Linked DNA regions of Notamacropus eugenii. The protein of the gene in region 1 purifies or fractionates together with the protein of each later gene. This does not show direct contact. Links are inferred from orthologs where the notes say so. Each region holds a gene or a part of one and is shown on either strand. Other genes may lie near its edges.

The links.
Region 2: the proteins of NOLC1 (region 1) and NOP58 fractionate together in Homo sapiens (co-fractionation; 3 studies listed by BioGRID, with this or other methods). This does not show direct contact. The link is inferred for Notamacropus eugenii from reciprocal best matches to the Homo sapiens genes NOLC1 and NOP58.

Annotation. Positions count from the first base shown.
Region 1 is NC_092872.1:180,290,849-180,298,909, forward strand, and holds the start of NOLC1 (nucleolar and coiled-body phosphoprotein 1), read left to right. Parts: upstream 1-5,035; 5' UTR 5,036-5,216; coding exon 5,217-5,336; intron 5,337-6,850; coding exon 6,851-6,906; intron 6,907-6,998; coding exon 6,999-7,129; intron 7,130-7,276; coding exon 7,277-7,410; intron 7,411-7,626; coding exon 7,627-7,858; intron 7,859-8,061. UniProt on the Homo sapiens protein: Nucleolar protein that acts as a regulator of RNA polymerase I by connecting RNA polymerase I with enzymes responsible for ribosomal processing and modification.
Region 2 is NC_092877.1:298,578,358-298,586,174, reverse strand, and holds the start of NOP58 (nucleolar protein 58), read right to left. Parts: upstream 3,172-7,817; 5' UTR 2,898-3,171; coding exon 2,853-2,897; intron 233-2,852; coding exon 156-232; intron 1-155. UniProt on the Homo sapiens protein: Required for the biogenesis of box C/D snoRNAs such as U3, U8 and U14 snoRNAs. Part of the small subunit (SSU) processome, first precursor of the small eukaryotic ribosomal subunit.

The DNA.
Region 1 (8,061 bases):
TTTGTGGCTTATTATTATGATGGAATACTACTGCGATGTAAGGAATGAGTTGCTTGATTTTAGAAAAACATGGAAAGACATGAAATAATGAAGGATGAGCAGAGCCAAGAGAACGTTGTACACAGTAACAGCAATATTGTTTGGAGAACAATTGTGAATGACTAAGTTATTCTGGGTTGCAAATATTCAGATGAACTACAAAGGACCTATGAAGGAAGATACTATGTACACCTCCAGAGAAAAAACTGATAAGTAGAAGTAAGCATGGTATGGTTTTACATTCACTTGTGTGTGTGTTGTGTGTGTGTGTGTGTGTGTGTGTGTGTGTGTGTGTGTGTACATGTGCACAAGTGTGTATGTCAAATGGTGGCCTTCTCTAGTGTTGGGTGGGGAGGAGGGAGGGATGGAGACAGTTTGGAACTTAAAATGTAACAGAATAAATAAATAAAAATTTTAAAAATAGGTAAAGAAGGGGTACTACCAAGTTACTTTCACGGCAAAAATATGGTCTTGATACCTAAAGGAGGAAATGCCAAAGAAGAAAACTAAAGACCACTTTCCCTAATGAATATTAATGCAAAATTTTAAATAAAATATTAGTAAGACTATAGCAATATATCCCACAAAAATCATACACTATAGTTAAGCTAGATATTTACCAGAAAGACAGAACTGGTTAGGATAGCTGTAACCATAACTGACCATATTAATAACCAACAAAAATCATTCTAATTGATGCAGAAAAAGCTTTTGACAAAATACAACACCTATTCCTCTTTTAAAAAACAGCTAGAAAGTGTAGGAATAAGTGGAGTCTTTTATTTATTTTTTTTGGTGAGGCAATTGGGGTTAAGTGACTTGCCCAGGGTCACACAGCTAGTGTTTTATCTAAGGCTGGATCTAAACTCAGGTCCTCCTGACTCTAGGGCCAGTGCTGTCCATCCATTGGGCCACCTAGCTATCCCAGTAGAGCCTTTCCTAAAATAATAAATAGTATCTATCTAAAACCAAGAAGTCAGCATTATCTGTAAAGAGAGTAAGTTAGAAACCCTTTCAGTAATATCAGAGTTGAACCAAGGATGTCCATCATCAATATTACTATTCAATATTGTACTAAAAATGCTAGCTGTAGCATTGACAAGAAAAAGAAATGGAAGGAATAAGTGCAGGTAAAGATCAAACAAAACTCACTTTTTGCAGCTGCGTGGGTAGAGTGATATAGTGACAGAGAGTCAACTAAAAAACTTATTGGAACAACTTCAGCAAAGAAATAGGATATAGAGTACACCTGCACAAATCATCAGTATTTCTGTATATAACCAGCAAAATACAGCAGGAAGAGATAGAGAAATTCTATTTAAAAGAACTATAAAATATTTGGGAGTCTACTTGCCAAGACACACCCTGGTACCCTACATGAACACAATTACAAAACACTTAGCACAGGTTAAGACATTTAAATAATTAGAGAAATATTAATTACTCGTGGATAGGCCAAAAAAAAATTACAATATTACCTAAATCACTTTACTTTTCCAGTGCCATCCCAATCAGACTACCAAAGAGTTATTTTATAGAATTAGAAAAAATAACAAAATTCCTCTAGAAGGACAAAATGTTGATGTCAAGGGAATTAATGAAAAAAATAAGGGGGAGGGGCAGCAGTATCAAATTTCAAACTATGCTACAAAGCTCTAATCGCTAAAACAGTTTGGTGACAAAATGGATAGAGTGCCTGACCTAAAATCAGTAAGACTCATCTTGAGTTCAAATCCAGCCTCGGACACTTAATAGGTATGTGATCCTGGGCACTCGTCCATTTAACCCTGTTGGGCACAGTCTTCTATAAAATGAGCTGGAGAAGAAAATGGCAAACCACTTCAGTATCTTTGCCAAGTAAAGCCCGCATGGGATTATGAAGAGTTGGGTTTGACAAATGACTGAACAAGAAATCTGTTCAGTGGAACAGATTAGATACCTAATATACAGAAGCAGAGGAGCACGGTAATCCAGTGTTTGATAAACCCAAAGATCCCAGCTATTAGGGCAAGAACTGACAAAAGTTGCTGGGAAAAGTGGAAAGTAGTATGGCAAAAACTAGGTATAGACAAATATGCTATTTACCAAGATAAACTCAAAATAAGTACATGATTTAGACATAAATGATGACATCGTAAGCAAATTAGTGGATCATGGAAAAAGTTATCTGTCATCTGTGGATAGGTTTTCTTCCTGTCTCTGCTTTTCTTGGATCCTCCTCCAGGTCACATCCTCTAACTGTGGATGTCCCTCAGGGTTCCCTCCTATGCCCTTTTCTCTCTCTTCACTTGGTGATCTCATTAGTTCCTATGGATTTAATTACCATCTCTGCTGATTCTTACATCTCCCTGTCATGCCCCAAACTCTCTGTTGACCTGTAATCAATTTTCCATTTCCAATCGCCTTTCTGACATCTCAAACTAGATATCAGTTAACATTTTAAACTCACTATGTCCATAACAGAACTTACTATCTTTCCTCTTAAACCTCCCTCCCCAACTTCCCTTTTAGAATAGAGGAAGCCACTATTTACCCAGTCTGTCAGGCTCATAACCTAAGATTCATCCTGGATTCCTCACTATCTCTTATTCCCTCATATCCAAACAGTTCCCAAAGCTTGTCGATGTCACCTTTGCAACTTCTCTAATATATGCCCCCTTTTCTCCTCTGACACTGCTACCACCCTGGTGTGGACTCTCATAATCTCACCCTTGATGACTGCATTAGCCTGCTGGTGGCTCTGCCTGCTTCAAGTCTCCCCCCACTCCAATCCACTCTCCACTCAACCACTAAAGTGATTTTCATAAAATGAAAGTCTGGTCATATCAGCCCCCTACTCAATGATCTTCAGTGGCTCCCTATTTCCTCCAGGAGCAAATTCAAAGCCCTTCCTAACCTAGCCCCCCTCCTACCTTTCCAGTCTTGTTACACCTTACTCCTTGACACAGACTTTTCAATTCAGTGACACTGGTTTCCTGACTGTTCCACAAACAAGACACTCCCATCTTTGGGTTCCACACATTTTCTCTGGCTGTCCCTTATGCTTGGAACACTGCCCTTTCTCTGCTCCAGCTTTTGACTACTGGCTTCATTTAGGTCTCAGCTAAAACCCCACCTTCTACAGGAAGCCTTCCTCTTACTCACAGTGCCTTTTCTTCTGTTAATTATTATTTTATTTACCATGTATATGGTTTGCTTTGCATATGTTTGTTTGCATGTTGTCTCCGTTAGATTGGAAACTCCTTGAGGGCAGGGAGTCTTTTGCTTCTTTTAGTATCCCTAGCACTTAGCAGAGTCCCTGGCACATATTAGGCACTTAACCAATATTGATTGATTGATTGAAGAGTTGATGACCCAGTGGGATAGAGAGGTTGACAGAAGGCAAAATGGACAATTTTGATTTTTTAAAATAAGGTTTTTGCACAAATAAAACTAATGCTGCTAAAAACAAGAAGAGAAGCAGGAAACTGAGAAATCTTTGTAGCATGTTTGTCTGATAAAGGTTTTATTTCTAAGATACATATGGAACTGATTCAAATTTATAAGAATAAGAGCCATTCCCCGACTGATAAATGGTCAAAGAATACAAACAGGCAGTTTTCAGAAGAAAAAATACAAGCTATTAATGGTCACGAAAAGGTATTCTAAATCACTAGTAATTAGAGAAATGCAAATTCAAAGAACTCTGAGGTTTCACTTCACACCCATCAGATTGTCTAGGCTGATCCAACTCAGAACTGGTCTGACCTTTCTGGAAGGCAGGTCAGAACTATGTTCCAAAACTATTAACCTATTTATACTCTTTGACTCAAAGTTACTGATACTAGGTCCAAGGAGGTCAAAAAGAAAGAGGAAACGGACCCATACGTACAAAACTACTTGTAGTAGCTCTTTTTGTAGTGACCAGTAACTGGAAACTGAGCTGACGCCTCTCCACTGGGGAACGGCCAACAAGTTATGGGGTGTGAGCGTGATGGAATATAACCTTGGGCAGCAAGAAACGATGAAGGGGAAGGTTTCAGAGGAACCAGCAGAGGCTCGCGTGAACGGAAGGGAAGTAAAGTGAGCAGAACGAGGAGAAAAAGGAAGGCGATAATAGCAGGATTATAAAAATCAGCTTTGAAAGACGTAGGAATTCTGACGAACACAACGAGCAGCCAAAATTGCGAAGGCCTGGGGATGAAAAAGCCATGTACCCCCCGAACCTGGAGACTGGGCGGTGTAGAGTGCTGGGAATAAAGCCGACAACCCCCTCGTGTGTGCCCCAGGCCAGACACTTCACCTGGCTGCCTCAGTCTCATCTTTAAAACGGAGATGATAATGGTGCCTGTCTGGTAGGCTTGGGAGGGACGGGTGGAACATCAAGTGCTACATGGTAGCTATTATTTCTGTCCCCTCTCTCTCCAGAGTAACAGGAGAATTTGTTTTGCATGACCATATATTTTCAATTTAATTTGTCATTTGCAACTGAAAAACAGGCTTTTTTTTTAAAGGCCCGTGAACCGCCGGATCTCCCAAGAGCAGCCAGCCAAGTCAGCTGGGACTCGGGATGCGCGGGGCCCAGTGCGGGAAGCATTGGGGGGGGGGCGGCTCTTCTCACGGACCCCAGGGGGCCTTGCTCGTACACACCTCGCCCCTCAGTTTGGGGGTGCAGGGAGGACGGCTGCCCCCAAAGGAGCCCCCGGCCCCTGAAGCCCCACCCCCTCATTTTGCAATGGAGGAAAAGGAGGCCTGGGGAGCTTAAGCAGCTGTGGCTCGAAAGGACCCAAATCGTTGTTGGCTAAACCAGCAGTAAGACAGGCCCGCTCCGCCCCGCCCCAGCCCCGGCAAACCGGAGGCGGGGGCCGGAGTGGAGCTTTCCCGCCAAAGCGGCAGGAATGGGCGGAGCCACGACGCCCCTGCCCCGCCTTCACCCACCAGACGAGACCCGCGGAGTGGTTCGACCGGACTTTTTCTTTCCCGAGATATCCGGGGTGGGACCCGGGGTGGGAGGGAAGGGAAAGGGAAAGGGAAAGGAAGGTTTCTAGGAGTGGGCGGGCGGGCCCGAGTCCCCGCCTTTTCCGGCGCTTGGCCGTGACGCCACATCCGGTTCCCTTCACCCTCACCATGCCGGAGTGATGTCATCATGCGCGACGTGCAGCCCTGAGTCGCGCCGGTGACGCATTCGGACCTGGAGGATGGCGGAGCAAGAGGTGTTACGCGTGGTGCCCAGCGACTTGTTCCCTCTCGTGCTCGGTTTCCTGCGCGACAACCAGTTTCCGGAGGCGGCAAGCAAATTCGCTAAGGCCACGGGCACCGTGAGTCCCCCCGCGCTCGGGGAGGAGGGCGATCTGAGCACCGGGCGAGGGGAGAGGAAAGCACGTGGTCCCCCGGGCCTAGGGGGGAGGGGGCCCTCGTGGGCCCCGGGAAAGGGGGGCCCGGGTAGGGCGATCCCTGGCACCTGGCGTTGGGGTCATGGGCTTAATGCCCGCTCTGGTGGTCACAGAAGCCTCTCCTGGTAAATCGAGGCAAGGCTGCAGGACCGGTCAGTATGGGTCTTAGTTTGTGGAGGCGGTGGGGGAGGGGAGCCCTTAAGAAGAGTCAGATCCATATGATGCTCCAGGGGCAGCTAAGGGGGACGACCCCGGCTCGGTTCTGGTTCGTGTGTTTTTTTATCAGTTACAGCTTTTACACGCCGACCTTTCCACTTCCACTGCAGCCAGTCACTTAGCACGTGCGCTCCTTGAAGTGAGGGGCTGCTCCATTTTTGTGCCTGTGTCCCCAGCCTTCTGTCTGGCACATAGTTAGTACATAATAAATACTTCAGGTTGATGTTTCACCCTGATCAGTGATACACCATTCTAAGTCGTGTTTCCACCTGGAATCTTCCACTTTCTCCTTGAATAATCTTTTCAGTGCATTTGAATTATCTGACTCTACCAAGGACCCACCACTGTATTTTCTCTCTTTCCCACTGTATTCACCCTCCACCCCCCAGCAAGAAGAAATCATGCATATTTTTCTGGTGGACCAGGCTTAAAGTTTATAAGATTTGTAGAAATTTGTGCTTCATAATAATTGCTCTTGATTTGCAATCCCAGAATGTGCAACAGAAGAAAAGATGCTGAGTTTTGAGTTACAAGTTTATGTCTTGCCTCTGACTTGTGGCTATGGACAAGTTACTCAACTTTTCTGAGCTTGTTTTTTCTATTGTAAAAGGCAATACTTGAGCTTACTACCTCATAGGGTGTAGGGAAGGTGCTTTGTTAACTTTAAGCACAATATAAATGTGACTTGTTATTCTACGTCCCAGCCAGCTTGGATTGTTCTCCATCCCCCATTTTCTTGCTGTTTCCTGTTTCAGTGGCTTTGTTCACATTCTCCCTTCAAGGCCTAGCTTAGATGCCATGCTGCAGTGGAGCTTTCCTTGGGTCTGCCCCTTTGTAACTGTCAATTAATTGAAGCTTTTAATATAGTTATAATTTTGCCTGGACCCTTCTTTTGTTCCTATTATACAATTCCTTGTATCAAAATGTATTGTGAGTTCCTTACAAAGCAGAGTCTGTATCTTCTTTGTTGTTATATCCTTAGCAGCTTGAACATGGTAGGTACTTAGTAAGTGTTCAGTAATTTTAATTTATATGTATGAAAACATTGTAGCATGCTTCGGGTTTGCAGATGATATGAGGCTGGGAAGACTAGCTAAAAACATGTTGGGATCAAAAAAAGCCCAGGTTGTAAGAGTAGACTAACTTAATAGAACTTTGTGGATGTGACTGCAAAAATTCCAGCATTTTAGGGATATCAGCTCTACCTCTTTCCGTCCTTGCAGGCCCAACAGGACCCCAATGCCACTTCCCTTTTGGACATCTATAGTTTCTGGCTCAAGTAAGTCCCTTCTGCACCCTTCGGCTCTCTCTTCCTTGGTGTCTCATAGGCCAGCCCCTTCTCAAAGTTCATTTTGCCTTTTCTTCACCCAGTAGGTCTTCCAAAGCTCAGAAGCGCAAGTTGCAGGCTAACGGACCAGTAGCAAAGAAAGCTAAGAAATCCACTGCTTCTGGCGACAGCAGTCATAAAGGAGAGGCCAAACAGCCTCCAACCAAAAAATTAGGTGAGGGATGAATTTTTGGGAGTGGAGGGGGTGTTCTTTCCATGTGTTTGATTTCTAGCTAAAGCACATGAAGGTTCTTCTTGCTCGCTTGGGAATACTCCCCTTGTCCAGAGGCCTAATTCTCACCAATTCCATATTCTTCCCCAGCCACCAAGCCACCTGGTACATCCACTCAGCCTTTGAAGTCAACCATTCCTGCCAAAGCAGCAGAGAGTAGTAGTAGTAGCAGTGAGGACTCCAGTGAGGAAGAAGACACTGGAAGCCAGAAGAAGTCTGCCCAGGTTGAAATATATGGGTTTCAGGAGAGGAACTAGGGGCAGAAATCTGTGTCTGCTTGATTCAGAGATGCCATTAGAAAGGAAATCTTTCCAAACTGAACTTGTTCTGGGTGGGGTCAGGCTGGTGGGAAGAGGATTCTCCATGTTGTTCTGTTTTAGGGCGCCCTTGTCTGGACACCCCAAAGCCTTTTGCTGAACACTTGTTCCTTCTCCTAACAGAAGGGAGCCAAGCCCCCAGCCAAGGCAGTCAAGCCTTCCCCCAAGGCAGCTCAGCCTAAGAAAGCTGAAAGCTCCAGCTCTGACTCCGACTCTGACTCCGACTCCAGCTCAGAGGACGAAGCTACGAAGAAACAGAAAACAAAGACTCCAGTTAAGACCCCAGTTAAGACTCCAGTTAAGACTTCAGTCAAGGCCACAGCTAAGACTCCAGTCAAGACTCCTGCTAAGCCAGGTACTTTTCTTTCTTCAAGTAAGGATTTTTCTTTAGCAAAAGGAGTGGCAAGAGACTTGGCCGTTTTGTGATCTGGGGTCTTAGAATTGTCCCTCCCCCACAATATATGCTCACATTTCTCCTCTGATAAGCCACTTGGCTGTCACCAGGGGTTCTTTTGAAGGCATTATGTAGTCACTGAAGAGAAAAACTTTTGTATTACT
Region 2 (7,817 bases), on another chromosome or scaffold:
AATTACTATACCTTGTCCTGACCATTAGATAACAGCACAAATAGAATTCAAATAAACTTTGCAATAAACAAAGCAGTAATAAAAATCAAGGAAAAGCGAAGCAAATTCTCAATTAAGTTCCCCCCCTTTTTAAAGCTCCCATTAAGAACACTTACATTTTATTTGCTTTCTCTGGAGTTTCGAATTCTTTCCACAAACTGTCCACCTCTTGTAATTTCTTCTCATTTAGAACCTAGAATAAAGATCAGTTAAATTGATTTTTAAAAAATGCTACAGCAAAGGTTTCTGTTATATGTTCATGTTGTCCCCTTAAATAAATATGTAAGGGTAACAGAAAGCTACTTCCCTCTTCTATAAATGCATATGGGACTAGTCACATTTCTTCTCTACATGGTCCTATTTTTCAAGTAAATTAACTAATATTTATTATGTACCCCTATTCCAAAGCCTTCCTTCATTTCTCATTCTGAAGCCCCATGATGGAGGTGACACCAGGTCACTGAAGGCCAAGTGGAAACTATAGCAGGTTCTTCCAAGATGTAAAAGCTTCAAATGTAAACTCAATGACACACTGACTGTTATCTGCTGTCCCATCAGACTAGACTCAGAGAGGCACATCACAGTTGGCCACAAGTCTTGACCATGTACTAAATTATAGGAGAGGTTATCCACCCTGAAGAAATCACAGATCCTTGGAGGTGCTGAAGTGCAAAATCCAAAGAACTCAAATCACTTTACAAATTTTCTCTTAATAAGAAAAAGAAAATTACACACAGCAAGTACTCAGGAAATATTTGTTGAATGAATGATATAAGATGTTACTGAACCCCACTGAGATGTTTAAAGTAGTTGTGACCAGAGTTTGTACCAAGCAAACTGTACCCTTTCACCCCATTTTCTTCTGTAGAGGGCACTATTTTTTGGGCCTAGCTAAGGCCAAAGGTAGAATAGAGAGATCTAAAAGGTTAGAATAGAGCCTAACCCTCTCATTTTACAGATGAGGAAACTGAGGCCCCAAAAGATTTTAAGTAATTTGTCTAAGGTCACAAGCAGTAAGCACCAGATACAGAACCTGAACCCAGGATGAGATCAGCCATAAGTGCTAAAGGGAGGTCACACCTAAACTGTCTGGTCAACAACAAAGACCATTCATCAAGGAGAAAGATTCCCTTACTCTTGCCTACTTTGCCCTTCTCCCTCCCTCACTTCTATACTCTACTAAAATACTGCCCTCCCCCCCATCTTGGAACAGAAGACCAACAACATATAGTGTCCAAAAGTCTTAAGATGAAAAACTAAAGGCCATAACTAAATTTTCTTCTTACAGTTACCCAAATAACAGCTCCACGCCCTCTTGCCCTAAGCAATTTATTTTTTTTAGAGGCGAGGAAAGGAGGGTATTGGTTAGTGCAGTTGAGGGTGGGTACTAGGTAGGACTTTAAAAGGTGGTTATCCTTCATTCCCAAAAGGACCAAATGACTTCACTATGTTAGAGTCAAGCCACAATGTCACAAGGGTGCCTGATCAGACCAATAGTTCAGAATGCTCTACCACAGGTCAGATACAAGTAGTGTATGTGAACATTTCGGGTGGATTTTCTACATTTGAGAATCTCCTGTTTCTTTTGAGATACTTCAAACTAGATACAAGCCAAGATGAAAACGGATGCATGTGACAGTGCTGATGCGTGACTTTTGGTTTCCAGATGAGTGAGCTCTCAAGGCAGCTTCTGAAGATGAGATGCAACGAAGTGTGGATTGTTTCTCTGCTGCCTGTGGTCATTTGGCCTCACTACTCTTCAAATGTACCAAATAACGGTTCTTCCCGATAAGTCCAGTTATATAGATAGCACACTTGAATTTTAAAAATTATCCGGTAATTTAATTCCAACCTATTTTTTAAGCAACCCGTACTCAACCAATCTCATTTTAATAAAGAAGTTAGTGACTTGGCAACGTAAACGTTCACTTTGCGATCTAGTTTATCCCTTCCACTCCATCTAGTCCATTAACACTATGAGCTCCTACTAGGTGCCAAAAATGCTGGGGATACAAAGACAGGCAGAAACAGTCTCTGTCCTCCAGCTCACAATCTAATGGAATTAACCCCAGGGCTTAGTAAAGTTCCTGGCACGTGGAAAGTGTTTAATGTGGCCCACTCAGCAAGACTTGAATTCTAACCCGGCCTCAGATACTTATGAACTATGTGACCCTGGGCAAGTCACTTAATCACTGTCTGCCTCAGTTTCCTTATAATAACGGTGAGGAATGAAGGCAGTCCTCCTCAATAATAATAGCTACCTCCCAGGGGTGCTGTCAGGACCAAACGAGATACCCGTACAGCGCTTAGCACGCAGTAGGAGCTATATAAATATTGATTATTATCATCGTTATTTGTGGAATCCTCCCAACGCAGGTGCCACCTCTTTCTGTTTCTTAGGGAAACGAGATTTTTTTTTCTCCTCTGGGCCTCCCTCCGCTTTGCACCGATCCCTTCCTGGTTTAACCAGTCCCTGATCACACCGGGCGGTCCCGTGCTCGGTCGTGGGGCTGCACACAGCAGGCCCAGGCTTCAGGTGGGGCAGCTGCCCGCACGCGGCACGGCCCAGGCGGGAGGCCCCCCACAGTCGCCGGGGCCTTCGGCTCTGGCGGACCAGGGCCAGTCTCCACAGCTCCACGAGGGCGGCCGATCCCTTCCCTTCCCCCGCTCCGCCCCGCGCAGGCCCGGCCCGGGGCTCCGCAGCCTCCCTGGGGCCACGTGCTCGGGGAGCGGCTCCCCCGCTCGCTCCACGCGCCCGAGGGCCAGGCCCGGCCCCGCCGCTGCTCCCACAGCACCTCCTGTCTGCGGCCTACCTTGAAGATGGCGTAGCCGGCCGCCGTCTCAAACAGCACCAACATGGCGAGGCTGCAGTGAGAGAGGCCGGGCAGCCCCCCGCGCGCGCCCAACCAACGGGGAAGCTGGGGAAGCGGGGGAGCGGCGCGGCGGCCTCTCGGGAGCCCCTTAAGTCAGCGCTCCGGGCCGGCCGGGGGCATCAGAGAACTCCCGGCGGGCGCAACGCGCGAAAACTTCAGACCAACCACGAACCCAGCACACGTGGGCTCATGGGAAAGTAAGGGCGGGGAAGGAGCGGAGACCGGATGAAGGCTTCTGGGATGCGGCTCAGCACTTCCGGGAGGGGAGGTGCACGCGCATGCGCGCACAGGGAAAGACAGAAGGCTAGCCAGTGACTCCTGGTTCCCAGCGCGGGTCGGAGCGAACGTGCTCCTCCCCCAAGCCCAGTTTTGGGAAATGACTGGTTAGAGTCTCGTATTGACTGGAGGTTGAGAATAAGAATAAAAAAACTGAACAATTAAAGCGGGACGCCTGGCCCGCAGGATGCGCTCCTACTGGTAAAGTAAAGAAATCTTAAAATGGAGAAGCAGAGCTGGAACGTGGTCTCTCGTTCGTGACTTGTGATTTTTGTGGTTTTGACCGATTGCCCGGAGATCTCTACACGAAAAATATGTTCGTACTAAATATTTTGTGCATATAGAGGCACTGTATTTACCTATTATGTAATTACATAACAATTTGTGCAGTGTTATATAATATATGATACATGTCATAGAACAATTGTCACATACTGCTGTACTAGATGTGTAAAATATAGACAGATATGTCTGTGGTCTATAGACATCCGTGTGTCATACCCCTGCTATACTAATACAGACATGTATTATAGTATGTAGTATATCTGATAAGTGTAAAATATCTGTATGCCGGAACTGCAAGCATTTCACTCGCAGAGAGACTGCGGTAAAATAGAAAAAGCCATTCTAATGGGGGAGACAACATGTAAACAGGGAGGCACATTGAAATTATATAGAGAGCATGTGGGAGGTAATATCAGAGGGAAAGGCACTACTCTCTGGGAAGGAAGGGTGGAGGGAAAAGTCTCTTGCAGAAGGTCAGATTTCAGCTGAAACTTGAAGGAATTCAGGAACATTAAGTGGTTGGGGGAGACTAAAATGAAAGACATCTAGTGTAAAAACATTGAGATAGGAGATTTGAGTGGTGCATGCCCAAGAAGTCTGTTCATGAAGGGTATAAAGATAGTAAGGAAACAGGTTCTGTACACCTTTAAATGCCAAACAGAACACTTTACATTTGATCCTGGAGATAATAGGGAGCCACTAGAGTTTATTGTATGTAACATGATAAGAGCTACACTTTAGGAAAATCACTTTGGCAGTTAAGTGGAGGATGGGTTGGAATGGGGAGAGACTTAAGGCAGGAAGACCAATTGAAAGACTTTTGGAACCTTTCACTCTGAATAACTCATCACTACCTCTACTAGACTTTCTCATAGAAGGGACAGACCCAACCCCAGCCCAGGTACTTCTACAGTGCCCCTACAATAGAAACTATGAACTCTCCTCATCTTCCACCCACTACTAACCATATGGCTTGTCCTTTTTCAGTCTTTATCCTTGTAATAATTAGTGGCCATTTCCAAGAAAATTGTCCCTTATCCCTTCCTCATGCTCTTTCATTCACACAGTTCTCAATCCGACCCTACTCATATCTTAATCCAACCCTTCCCACCCCTTCCTCTGGAATTCCTATTTAATACTGAACAAATTCTCCTTCCTGCACTTCTTTTCTTGTATGTTTTCCATCTTTAAAGCCCTTGTTAAGACCTGGCTCCTTTCTGAGACACTTCAGCTCTGATTATCCTCTCCGGCACTGATTGTACTTCCTCTCTCTCTCTCTCTCTCTCTCTCTCTCTCTCTCTCTCTCTCTCTCTCAACACACACATACTCAGTGGTTTGGAGGAAGAGTCAGAATATTCCTTGCTTCCCATTTTCACTTTCATACTTTCCCTCTATCTCCTTCACTCAGTAACCTGCCCTCTTTGGAAATCTACACAATTAAAATTTTCTACGCCATCAAAATTTTGATAACTGTAGTATACTGCCTCTCTAGTTATTCCATTGTACTTTTTCAAGGAGATCAACCCCAGGCTGACATCTTCACTTCTTCTCCAGCTCCTTTTCCTATACTTGGATACTTTAATATTCTTTAATATACTTTAATATTCATGTAGATGTGCATTTAAACTTCCTAATCTCCCATTTCCTTGAATTCTCTAAGTCCCATGACCTATTCTTTCATACCATTTAGCCACAAATGATATGCACTAGCTCTTGCCATTATTCACAAGGGTTCTATTTCTCTAATTAGAAACTCTCTCTCTGTCTGACCATAATTTTCTATCATTCCATTTCTCCTGCTTTTTCCCTCTTACATATATTCTTTGCTGTCATGAACATTTCCATTCACTCTACCCTTCGGTACTTTCTCAGATCATGATCTCTGATTTGACTTCATTCCCTTCCCTCTTCATTCTCAACCCCAAAATCAGCCATTTAAACTCTACCGTGTTCTTTGCTTTTGAAGCCCTTGTCCCTGTGTCCTACTCATTTTTCATCAAATTTCAGCATTGGATTAGTTTCACCATTTATTTCCTCCACTTCTCAAGAGCTTTCTTGCCTGGGTCCATTACAGATTCATGTCATTCATCCTCAAATGGGCCCTTGCTGCATTAAGGTAGTCCTTTTATTCCTCTCTAATGGATTCCTCATTCCTCCTAAAAGCTATTGCAACATTTTCTTCCCTCCTACAATTCTTCACACCTCCTCTTCTTTCTCAAGCTGAAGACCTTGTCTCTGATATTACTAAAAATACTGCAGCTATTCAGTATGAGCTCCCTCTTCTCCCATTTTCTTAATTTCAAAACCCTTTGACATCCTCATTTCCCCTTGATGAAGGCCAACCCTTCTACATGTGCACTTGATGCCAATTTTTTTCCCTAACGGATTACATTGTCAATAACTTGTTCCCCTTTCAGATCTTTAACATCTCTATCAACTGGTTCCTTTCTTACTGCCCTTCAAATATGTCCAAATCTCTTCTATCCTTAGAAAATCTTCATTAGACACTACCTTCCCCTTATATTATTCTGTATCTCTTTCCCTTTCTTAGATTCCTTGCAACACCTATCTACACTTGCTGCCTCCATTTTCACTCCTCTCACTCTTCAATCGTTTGCAATCTTATTTCTGACATTACTTAATCTGAAACTACTTTCTCAAAAGTTAGCAGGCATCTCCTGTAATGGAGTTTGGAGCATGCCCATAGTTTCTCAGATGGCATTTCCACACGAAGGACAATAGGGAAAACAAGCCATCTCGTAATAAGAATTGTCATGAAGTATAAGGGAATCTCCTATTCTTGGGTAGCTCATTTACTGGTAAAGGAAGTAGAGCCTATGATCTTGTGAGCTCAAAAGGTGTAGAGAGCTTCTCACATCTTATCTTTCTGGAGTTTGGGTTTGCAACTAGCAAACCATCTGTTCCGTAAGGAGCAAGGCCCAGTGGTGGCTCAGATACCCAAAATTAACACAATACTCCCAGTGAGATCTAGTGAGAAGAGAGTACAGAGAAGCTACAACCTCCTTATTCCTGGAAGCTATGCCTGTTTTAATGTAGCCCATGATCGCATTAGTTTTTTGGCTGCTACATCATACTATTGCCTAATAAATAACCTTACAAAGTCCTCTGAAATGCGTAGATTTTTGTTTTCAGACAGACTACTGTCTAATTATAACTTTTCTCTCTTGTGAAGCCAATTTTTGTTTCCTAGTACAGTTTACATTTATCCCTCTAACCAAAGTCTCAGCAGAGTGAACATGTGACTTTCTTGATACATGTATACAACTTCACCAAGAGTGAGAAGTTTGGGTATGAGCCATGCCTGTCTATTATTAACTTTTGGTTTGGAATCTCTGAAGAAGGAGATACTGCAGGAACTCACAATCAGTACATCTCTCAGCTGAGAAAGAAGCTAAAGGAAGCTTACCACCTAGCTAAGATTTCAAGCCAGAAAAATGCTCAAATAAATAATTAAATGTATGATGCCCAAGTTTATTGTTGAGACTTTCAACATGGTGACAGTTTTACTATGAAATTTTGATGTTCATTGGACACACAAGTTACATCAATGGAAACTCACTCCATACCTAGTTTTGAAGAGACTGGCCAGCTTACCTGTTTACAAAATAGTCCCAGAGCTTGGGGGAGGTGGGGGTGGGGGTGGGGTCCTGTAAAGATAGTCTAATACAATTACTTATTGCTAATAGATGAATTGGTTGAACTTTGTGAGGAGCAAGTTGAGAATGATAAATATTTATTACATTGGAATCTAAGTGAAAGATGCCACCTTCCAGTCCTGCAAAGATAATAGTTCATAATTGTATTTCAAGCGAAGACGCTTTGTATGCTATATTCCAACAACTAGTTCAAATAATGGGGGGGAATGAACCCAGAGATAATACCTTTTTTCCCTAGTACTTTTGCTATATAGATTTCTAGGTACAGATTTTTCTTTTGTAACATTACTTACCAGTTTGAGATCTCTATGAATTCAGATTTAGGAAGGCAGGACCCCTAGATTTGATTATAATTATGATTAGTCCATACCAACAGCTAGCACTGGAGTAGGGCAGATAGGTCAGTAGGTCTCAAGAGAGTGAATGTCCAATAAATCCTTTATACAGCCTTCCTGGTAACTCCACTTTCCTCAACTGCTTTGCTTGACTTCAACTCCATGGAATAATATGGAGTTTTGCTTTGTACTTCCTGGCCACCCTGAACCCCATTTTTCAGTTTTCTTTTGTGTATGGTCTCTTTAAGTCCTAAATCCCTACAGATTATACACATTGTAAGCTCCTTTATCGAATATCCCTTTTTTTCTATGAGAATAGTCATCGCTAGTTT